Linked DNA regions of Cricetulus griseus. The protein of the gene in region 1 purifies or fractionates together with the protein of each later gene. This does not show direct contact. Links are inferred from orthologs where the notes say so. Each region holds a gene or a part of one and is shown on either strand. Other genes may lie near its edges.

Region 1 (5,227 bases):
GTGTGGAGTGAAATCTTTTCTCAAAAATATGAAAAAGTTGGGCTGAAGAGATGGTTCAATGGTTAAGAGCACTTGACTGTTCTTCCAGAGGTCCTGAGTTCAATTCCCAGCAACCACCATGGTGGCTTACAACCATCAATATTGGGATCAGATTCCTTCTTCTGGTGTACATTCAGAGCACTCATACATAAATACATGAATAAATACATCTTTAAAGACAAAACAAAACAAAAATGAAAAAGTCAGTAAGAAACCACAGGCCCTAGCATTCAGCAGGTTTAGGCAGAAAAACCATGAATTTAAGATCAACCTGGGCTACATAGGTTCTGCCTTAAAGGGAAACATCACATCTATCCCTGTTTAGCCATTCTGTTTTATAGACAGGTTCTCATGCACCATGGCACATGTGCACACCCCCACACACAAATGTTTAAAAAGACCAATAAAATGGTGGGTGGTGGCCGGGCGTTGGTGGCTCTCGCCTTTAATCCCAGCACTTGGGAGGCAGAGACAAGTGGATCTCTGAGTTCGAGGCCAGCCTGGTCTCCAGAGTCAGTGCCAGGATAGGCTCCAAAGCTACTCAGAGAAACCATGTTTCGAAACAAACAAACAAACAAACAAACAAACAAAAAATCCAAACCCAAACAAAAACTCAGGCATGGCTGTGATTCCAGCACTAGGGACATCAAGACAGAGGAATCAAAAGTTCCGAGGCCACCATAAACCACATAGCACCAGGCAGCCCAGGCCACAAGAGAACCTGCTCCTAAAAGATAAAAACAACCATCAGAACACAGTCGGGTGAAATAACATTTGCCAACTGTCCCAGTATTAGAATGGTAAAAAGCAAAAAGATGGTGAAACAAGCAGAATATGTAGCACTCTGGAGGCAGAAGCAGACAGATCACTGAGTATGAGGCTAATCTGATCTATACAGTGAGTTCTAGGACTGCCAGGGCTACATAGTGAGACAGTCTCAAAACAATAAACCCGCCCCCAAAAGTAGCTACAATGAATGTAGCTTAAAAATAAACAGGAGCCAGTGAGAAGGTGCAACAACTTAAGGTCTCTTTGCTGCTGAGTTCTAAGCCTGGGAGCCACATGGTAAAAAGAGAAAGGTCTCCAAGTCCTACTCTGACATCCACATGTGCACTGTTTATGTGCCCCTACCCTCAAATAACAAAACCAAAGAGGAAAATAGGAGTGGACAAGGAGCTTGTTGACCAAGTTCTTGAATAGGTTCAATCCTCAGCAACAGGCAACCCCAAACCAAACCAAAAACATCTCATAATAGGACTGCTGAGATGGTTCAACAATTAAGAACACTTTGTTTTTGTAGACCAAAGGAGAACTTGCAAAACTAACCTCTTGGGTTGGCTCTAGATTATCTGCCTTTACAGGACTGGCCATGCTCTTCCTCCGCTTTGTATTTCCTCGAGGGGACTCGTCACGAGAGCGCTCTGTTCTCTTCAACATTGCCCGAGTGCTGGAGCTGCTGCTGGAGCTGCACGGGGAAGAGGAGTCAAGCAGCCTGCATCGATTGCCCTTAGGGTAAGAGACAGAGCCACCTCGATTACAATCTGATCACTTGAATGACAAGTCCTAGATTATTCCAGTCAACATAGTTATGGACTACTTTGTTCAGCGGCCAACTACTGAAAACTCCACATACTGGAGTAACTTACAAGGTTTGTAGGTCTTCTCATGACAAGGGGAGCTGTCCAGAGGCTCGCCATGCACGAAGGGGTCTCCTCATCATTCTAGAGCAAGAGAAAAAACTGTTTTTAAATAGATCCAGTGGAGGGGCTGGGAAGAAGAAAAGGACCCAGTTGAGATTAATAAATGCTTTGCATTTAACTCTCCTAAAGAGTGCCAGACAAGCCTGAATACATTTTTTTGTTTTGTTTTGTTTTTGGGGAGGAGCCTTACTTGTAGCACAGGCTGGCCTAATTTGTGGCTATGGCAATCCTGTTCAGCATCCTAAATGTTGAGATTACAGGCATTACCACCAGGGAAGGCTAGCACCTCCTTTTTTGGTACAAGAGATTGAACCTGAGGCCTTGCGCACCCTAAGCACACATTCCGCCACTACTCCCCCTGCAATAGGATTTAGTCAAGCAGGGAAGAGTCCCAATAATCTCACAAATCAATCAGCCAGCTGAGACTCCAGGAGCTGTTTTTACTTAGGAGCCTTCTCCAGTGGTAGCTAGAATGAGTAGGCACACCCTCACACCCACAGATGATACCTTCAGATTCTCTCCATCGAGAAGGTCTATGAAGCCATCATCCTCATCAGACAAAGTGGCTTTCACAGGGGACTGGGATGTAAAAAGAGGACTGAAATGTCCTGATTCATTGTTATCACTTTCATTTGAAGATAGCTGAAAGACAAAATTAGCAAGAACTCTAGTCCATTTTGATTTGCTTAGCTGGATTGCTCAAAAAAAGAGATAAGCTTGTACACCATGTGGGAACCTGGCATCCTCAGAGATCAGAAGAAGACATTGGATTCTCTAGCTCCTGAGCTCTTACTTTGTTTTTCCCTTTTAAGACGGGGTTTCTTTTGCTGCCTAGGCAGTCCTGGATGGAACTCATTCTGTAAACCAGGCCTCAAATTCAGAGATGAGCCTGCCTCTGGGGTTAAAGTTGGCACCACCACTGCCTCTGAGCTCTTCTTGCAGTCTAACTGCAAGCTGTGGCAGTGCACAATCTGTTGGAAATACCAGTCTCTACCATAAAATAGTATACCAAAGAAAGTTGAACAATACCTATGTAAATCCCATTCAGACAGATGGAAACAAAGAGAACTTGTTCTAAAGCCTTTCCCAGTCCTTTCTTACTTTTGGAGACAGGGTGAGCCAACACTTGTGAACCTTTCTTCCACCCCCTCAAATGTTGAGATCACAAGTGCACACTGGATTAAATGACAGCTGGGGCTACAGAGATGGTTTGGAGGTTAACAGCAAGCATGGCTCTTGCAGAAGCTCAAAGTCTGATTTGATTCCAAGTATCCACCTTAGACAGCTCTGTTTTCTGTGATCCTAAACCTCTGGCCTCCTCAGCCATCTGTACTCATAAACAGCCTACTCACTCCATAATTAAAAGTAAAAATGATTTAAATAAAACACAGCTGCCCAATTTTAAATTGAGAGATTATAATGTCTCAGACACTAAGACAAAATCTTTACAACTATAATCTCATTTAAGTCACAGCACATACTATTTTAGTCAATCCTTTTTTTTCTTTGAGATTAAATATTCCTAGACTCCACCCTGTTTTAGCCGCCGGAGGAGCTGGGACTATGTGTACCAACATACCCAAAGAATCCTTTGATTTTTGTTTAATAAAAGGAAACTTATGCTTAAGGTTACCAAGATCATTTACCTCACCTATTTGACACCCAAACCTGGAAAATAAGTTGGCTGTGGTGGCAAACACCTGTAATCCCAGAGACAGGAGCAGTTTTCAACTGCATAGCAAATTTGAAGCTAGCCTGGGATTTTAAGAGATCCTGTCTCAAAAAAAAAAAAAAAAAAAGCAAATAAGAATCCCAACCCAAACAAAAGCTAAATCAATAAAATTTTCACTGGCTTTTTAAAAGTCTGCATCCTTGGCTGGAAAGATGGCTCAGAGGTTAAAAACTCTGGCTGCTATTCCAGAGGACCTGGGTTCAAATCCCAGCAACCACCCTTAATGAGATCTGGTACCCTAGTCTGGCCTGCAGGGATAAATAAATTAAAAAGTCTGCACCTGGGGGGATGGAGGGAGGGGGGAGGGAGAGGGAACTGGGATTGACATGTAAAACAATCTTGTTTCTAATACAAATAAAAGAAAAATCTGAAAAAAAAGTCTGCACCTCAGCATCTGTGCCTTTAATGATCAAGCAATCATAGAAAATCATGGCATTCTGATCCCCAAGCATCCATCAAATATATTCTATTTCAGATATAATCTCAAACTGTTATCATGAACTGGGGAATCTACAGTTAAATTCTGTCTCTTAACACATCCTTTGACAAATAAATCAACTTTTCTAATGAAACTTTCTAACCTGCCAAGAGGTAACTCCAGATAATTCACAGCCTTCTTCAGCCTCCCAAATGTTGGGTTTGAGTCGCCACACCTAGCAATAACAGTAAACTTGCCTTTTTTTCTTTTTGAAAAAGGATTTCATGTAGCCCCAGGCTGACCTTGAGCTCATGGCTGAGCTGAGAATAAACCTGAATTCCTGATCATCCTCCCTCTGCCTTCCAAGTGCTTAGATTATAGGCATGTACCATAGGCTCAGCATTAATAAACTCTATGCTGATACAACATGTACTAATGCACATAAGCATACATGTTTGCAGTGTTGAAAACTCTCTTCCCATGACAGAAAGCCACAACACATACCATACAAGCTGGGGCTGAGTTCTGCCTGTGTGTGAAGAAATCTTTACTCTCCTCATGTACATGGGCATTCAGGCAGCCACGAGATGCAGGTCTTATTGGCTTTTTAAATTCGAATGCTTCCTGCAAAACAATATTTGATATATTTTCTGTCTAATAAAAACCAGCTTTAGGGCTGGTGAGATGGTCTGGCAGGTAAATACACTTGCTGAGAAGTCTGAAGATCTGAATTCACCCTTAAGATCCACATGGTGGAGGGAAAAAGACTTCTGTCAGCCACCTGTGTACCACACACAGCAAGCTCCCACCTGCAACTTTCTCTTTCACTCAACAGGATTAATTAAAAAATTATTGTTGGGGCTAGTGAGATAGCTTAGCAGTGAAGAGGAGTTTTTCTAAAGACCCAGGTGTGATTCCCAGCACACACAGGACAGCTCACACTCATCTGTAACTCAAGTTTCAAGGGATACGACACCCCCCCCTGGCCTATGCGGGGATCAGGCACATACACAGTATACAGACACACAAAAGCAAAACACCCACACACACAAAATTTATGTCTCCTATCTTAAATAGTCACATAAGCACTTTCATTAAGTGCTAAAAACAGTAACTGTTAACATGTTCAGAAAGTCCCCTGGTTTTTCAAGACAGGGTTTCTCAGTACCTACGGAGCCAGTCCTAGCAACTTGCTCTGTAGACCAGGCTGGCCTCAAACTCTCAGAGACCTGCCTGCCTCTGTCTCCCAAGTGCACCACTGTCACACGCCACCAAGCTATACTTTCTGAACATAAACTTGTCTAACCATCAAATACAACCTGACTGCTCCTAGTTTAC
Region 2 (4,213 bases), on another chromosome or scaffold:
AAAGTTGGGTCAGAAGGGAAGGGAGTGGGTCTGGAAGATTTGGGGGTGGGGAGAGACAAATAGGATCAAAACCTCCTTACCAAACTCAAAAATTCAGAGATGGTTAAGTGTAGCTCAAGTTGTTAAAAGCATGTTTGAGGCCTGAGTTAGATCCTCACCACCACCTTCATATCAGTAGTATAGCAGGCATAGTGAAACATACAATTCCAGTATTTAAGAGAGGCAGGCCAGCTGGAGACAGCTGTTACAAGTACTGCATTCCTATCCCTCTACCCACAGAAAACCACAAACTATCAAAATTCAGAACAAGTGATCTTGTAGTTCCCCACCCCAACTCATCCATCAACCCCTGATCTTAAGACTCAAGGAACACTAAAGAGGAGGGGGAATATTGCTAAGAGCCAGAGGAACAGGAGGACTGAGATTGTCTCCTTGAAATGTTAGGGAAGTTACATCCATGAAGTCTCAACAATATGGCTGCCTAAACAAGTCTTCAACAAGGATGCCAACACTAACACAAAAGGGGAAGTCATGGGGCCTCAACCTAGACAACTACAGGCAACTAAGGAATGCTGAAAAAGTCTTTCCTAATAAGTTCTCTACCACCTGCCTCTGTCTCCCGAGAGCTGGGATTAAAGGCATGCACCACCATTGTCCAGAGCAGATTATATTTATACACATACAAATATACAATGAAGCCAGAGGCCACGAATTTGAGAATGTAAGGGGAGGGTTACGTGGGAGAGGTTGAGGAAAGGTAAAGGGAAATTATGTAATTATGTTCTAATTTTAAAAAGATAGTAAAATATTTTTTCACTACTATTGTGCAGACATAATCTCAAAGTTCATGTGGCAAATGTCTGATAATGCCAAGTACTTGACAACAGTCAAGCTGTATCTGGCCCCAAACTCCTAAAACTCAATATAAAACAATCTGTTATTACAGGGGAAAAATTGTTTAGATCAGAGGCCAATAAATGTGCACTCAAGATGTTATCAGTGACACAACTGGACGTTCATCTGGAAAACTCTTCCATCATATCACTTAAAGTTTATTGAAGGAATATATACCTAAAGAGAAAGCATTTTAGAAAAGTGAATTTTGAGACAGGGTCTGGCCTTAAATCACAAAGGTCTGCTTGTTTCTGCCTCCCTTGGTATTGAATTAGTGTGCACACTTCCTAGTTGGTTGACCTTAAGACTGAAAATTATCGACACGTTTCTTTACAGAAAAACACCAAAGCCGTGCGTTGGTGGCACACGCCTTTAATCCCAGTACTCGGGAGGCGGATCTCTGAGTTTGAGGCCAGCCTGGTCTCCAGAGTGAGTGCCAGGATAGGCTCCAAAGCTACAGAGAAACCCTGTCTCGAAAAACCAAAACCAAAAAACAAAACAAAACAAAAAAAACCACTAAACAGTCAAAATGAGAAATTGGGGAAGCTTTCCATTAATAAATTTTATTCAACTTGACATCAGATGTATAAATTAAAACAAACAGAGACAGGATTTTTGCCAGTTAAGTGTCATAAGACAGTGGAAAGATAGAGGAAATGGCACCTTGGTATAGTGCCAACAACACAAAGTCTCATCTGGCTTCATCAGAATTTAAAGCATATACCCCCTGGGAAAGCTACTATGCATACAGCCAAGCAAGGCATAAAACAACATTTTAGCAGTATTGTGTTTAGAGGCAATGAGAGAATGCAATTTGAATGTATTGTAAAGGATCACTGAATACATTACATACAGTATGAAATGTACACTTAGGAAATGCAATATAGGCATTAAAAGGAATATTGTTGAAAAAAATGAGTCCATATCTCCTTGACAACATATGCATGATTACATTTATATAGGACATTGAGATTAAGGGGCAAATTCTTTTTATACCTTTAATTTTAAACATGCTATTTCCCAAGCCAATTAACAAATAAATAATTACACAAGAAAACTGGGGTTCAGATCTGAAAGTCCATAGCTCAAGACACAGTGAAGGACAGCAACCACCTGAAGAAATAGAAAAGGGAACTAAGGACAAGCTGGTAAATTGACAGTTTAAACAAGAGCTAGGCAGAGGGCTTTGCAGGATGACTTAAAAGATATGACCAGGACACATTAAAGAAGGAAGTACATAAACATATAGGCTACAATTACGTACATTACTTGGATTCTCTGTTAAACTAAAAGCAGTTTCAAAAATAATCCTAAATGTTTTAGACAACCCTTGTTATCCTAGAGTCAGAACAACCAACATTCAAATGAGGTAAGCTATGAAAAGTAAAACAGCCTTTATTGAAGAGCAAGTAAACACTGTATACTATGTACAGGTGGCACATGGTGCCAATTGCATTTGCCGATGTAGTGTAGTGGTCCACTTGAGTTATGCCTTTGACACAGCCTTGGACAAATTCTGAACTAGTGTACAATTCAGCTGTGCCAGAGTGCTGATCTTAGCATGCTTGGATGTTGCATACTTGTTCTTGATAGTCTGTAAGAGAAAAGCACTATAATCAGGGAAAACAAAAACCATCCCACTGGGGTGTGTACATGGAGGGATTAGAGGGAGAAAAGAGATTGGAACAATGTATTACATTTAACTTCAAAGATGAACATAAAACCAAACCTCTCCAAGCCAACCTCTAGCTGGCTTCTCCCTGTCTCCAGAGTGCTGGGATTAAAGGTCTTAAACCAGCTGTGAAGTTTCAATGAACTTACCATGTGCTTTGTAAGGCCACGGTTCACCATGACTACATTCTTAGCCAGGTGCTGCATGACAGGCAGAAGGGATTCTTCAGTATAGGACAGGTAGTGCTGCAGGGTCGGTGTCTAAGACAACAACAAAAGCATGTTAAAACACCAGCCACTTCCAGAAAACTGTTCTAGATGCTATTCAAGAGTCTAGCAGGTAGATAGTGAACGGTAAACACAACTGAAATTTAAATAAATCATCTCTTTGCTCAGGTGTGCTCCTCCGAGAGCCTGTGCTTCAATTTAACCATAGCATTATAGATGCTGGCTTTTCTACCCCAAGGTCAGGACAGCATCTGGTACATGAAGAATGCGTATGGGTCTTAGACCACTTGGTGTAGCTTTCATGTGTGAAAGGATTAACAGACAGACTCCAAAAGGGTGTTATCAGAAAGATGAAAAACCTGAAGAATGGAAGCATTCTAAGTCGGATGGCACCACATTTTCACCACCATTCATTTACTCCTATTGAGGAAGCAGAAGGGCCACAAGGGCAAAAATGGTGCATTCAAAGGCTGTTTACAATTGGTTTGGAGACTGCTTACCCATTCACCGTTGTCAAGAATTTTCAGTGCTAAGCAAAAAGCTCCAGCTGCAATCTGAGAAGGAGCAAAGTGCACCATGTCATAGTCCAACATAGTGAGCTCCATGAGGTATTTGGCCAAAGTATGCTGTTCAACGTCAACCTGAAACAGATCCACATACATACCACTGAGCGTCTTTTGCAGTTTTGCTTTTGCGCTAACTTACAAAGCCCGATCTGTGACTACAAACTCTCAAATACAATGGTCCACAGAAGGCTTTAAGAGTAACCATATAATATCCAACCTGATTAGAAATAATAACAGCCATATCCTTCTCCCATGTACTTATATATCTACCGTATTCTCTAATATAGCAAAATAAAAATTTCAAGTAATGTGTACCTCTCCAATCTTAGAGGCTCTACGGAGGAAGTGCAGAGGCAGAGGGCGACCCAAACTGAAGTTTAGAACTCTTAGAATCTTCATTTCCATCTGTCTGATTTGGTGCTTAGTGTAAGTATTATTAGTCACAAAAGCGAAGTCACCTATTTCTGGAGGGTACATTTCTTCATATTTGCTTGCAATAAACATGGCAGTCACACCAACTAGCTGCAGCATCTTCTTGGGTACACAGTTATCCTGCAATTGAAATGTCAATGAACATGTACTTGAACATCTCAACTGGTGGCACCTTATCTCCCTGTAAAGACAGATACCTGCCTACCATGTAATGGGACCCTGGGTTTGACTGTCAGTGTCCACTCCCCCCTCCTCCAAGAGTCTTCTAGAACCCGGGAATGAAGAACTCTCATTACTTAATTACACATACCTGCATGAACCGGTCAATAATGGAAACAGTCATGTACATAGTCTCTTGCAGCAGCCTAAATTTCATTTGAACCTGTATCAGCCAGTCAATTAGGATGGCTCTCATGTTTCCA

What was found.
Region 2: the proteins of Cdc25a (region 1) and Ccnb1 purify together in Homo sapiens (affinity purification with mass spectrometry; 3 studies listed by BioGRID, with this or other methods). This does not show direct contact. The link is inferred for Cricetulus griseus from reciprocal best matches to the Homo sapiens genes CDC25A and CCNB1.

What each region holds. Positions count from the first base shown.
Region 1 is NC_048597.1:217,356,492-217,361,718, reverse strand, and holds part of Cdc25a (M-phase inducer phosphatase 1), read right to left. Parts: intron 4,514-5,227; coding exon 4,394-4,513; intron 2,382-4,393; coding exon 2,247-2,381; intron 1,761-2,246; coding exon 1,686-1,760; intron 1,546-1,685; coding exon 1,366-1,545; intron 1-1,365. UniProt on the Homo sapiens protein: Tyrosine protein phosphatase which functions as a dosage-dependent inducer of mitotic progression. Directly dephosphorylates CDK1 and stimulates its kinase activity. Also dephosphorylates CDK2 in complex with cyclin-E, in vitro.
Region 2 is NC_048595.1:319,286,038-319,290,250, forward strand, and holds the end of Ccnb1 (G2/mitotic-specific cyclin-B1), read right to left. Parts: coding exon 4,102-4,213; intron 3,912-4,101; coding exon 3,675-3,911; intron 3,435-3,674; coding exon 3,294-3,434; intron 2,827-3,293; coding exon 2,716-2,826; intron 2,489-2,715; coding exon 2,381-2,488; 3' UTR 1,437-2,380; downstream 1-1,436. UniProt on the Homo sapiens protein: Essential for the control of the cell cycle at the G2/M (mitosis) transition.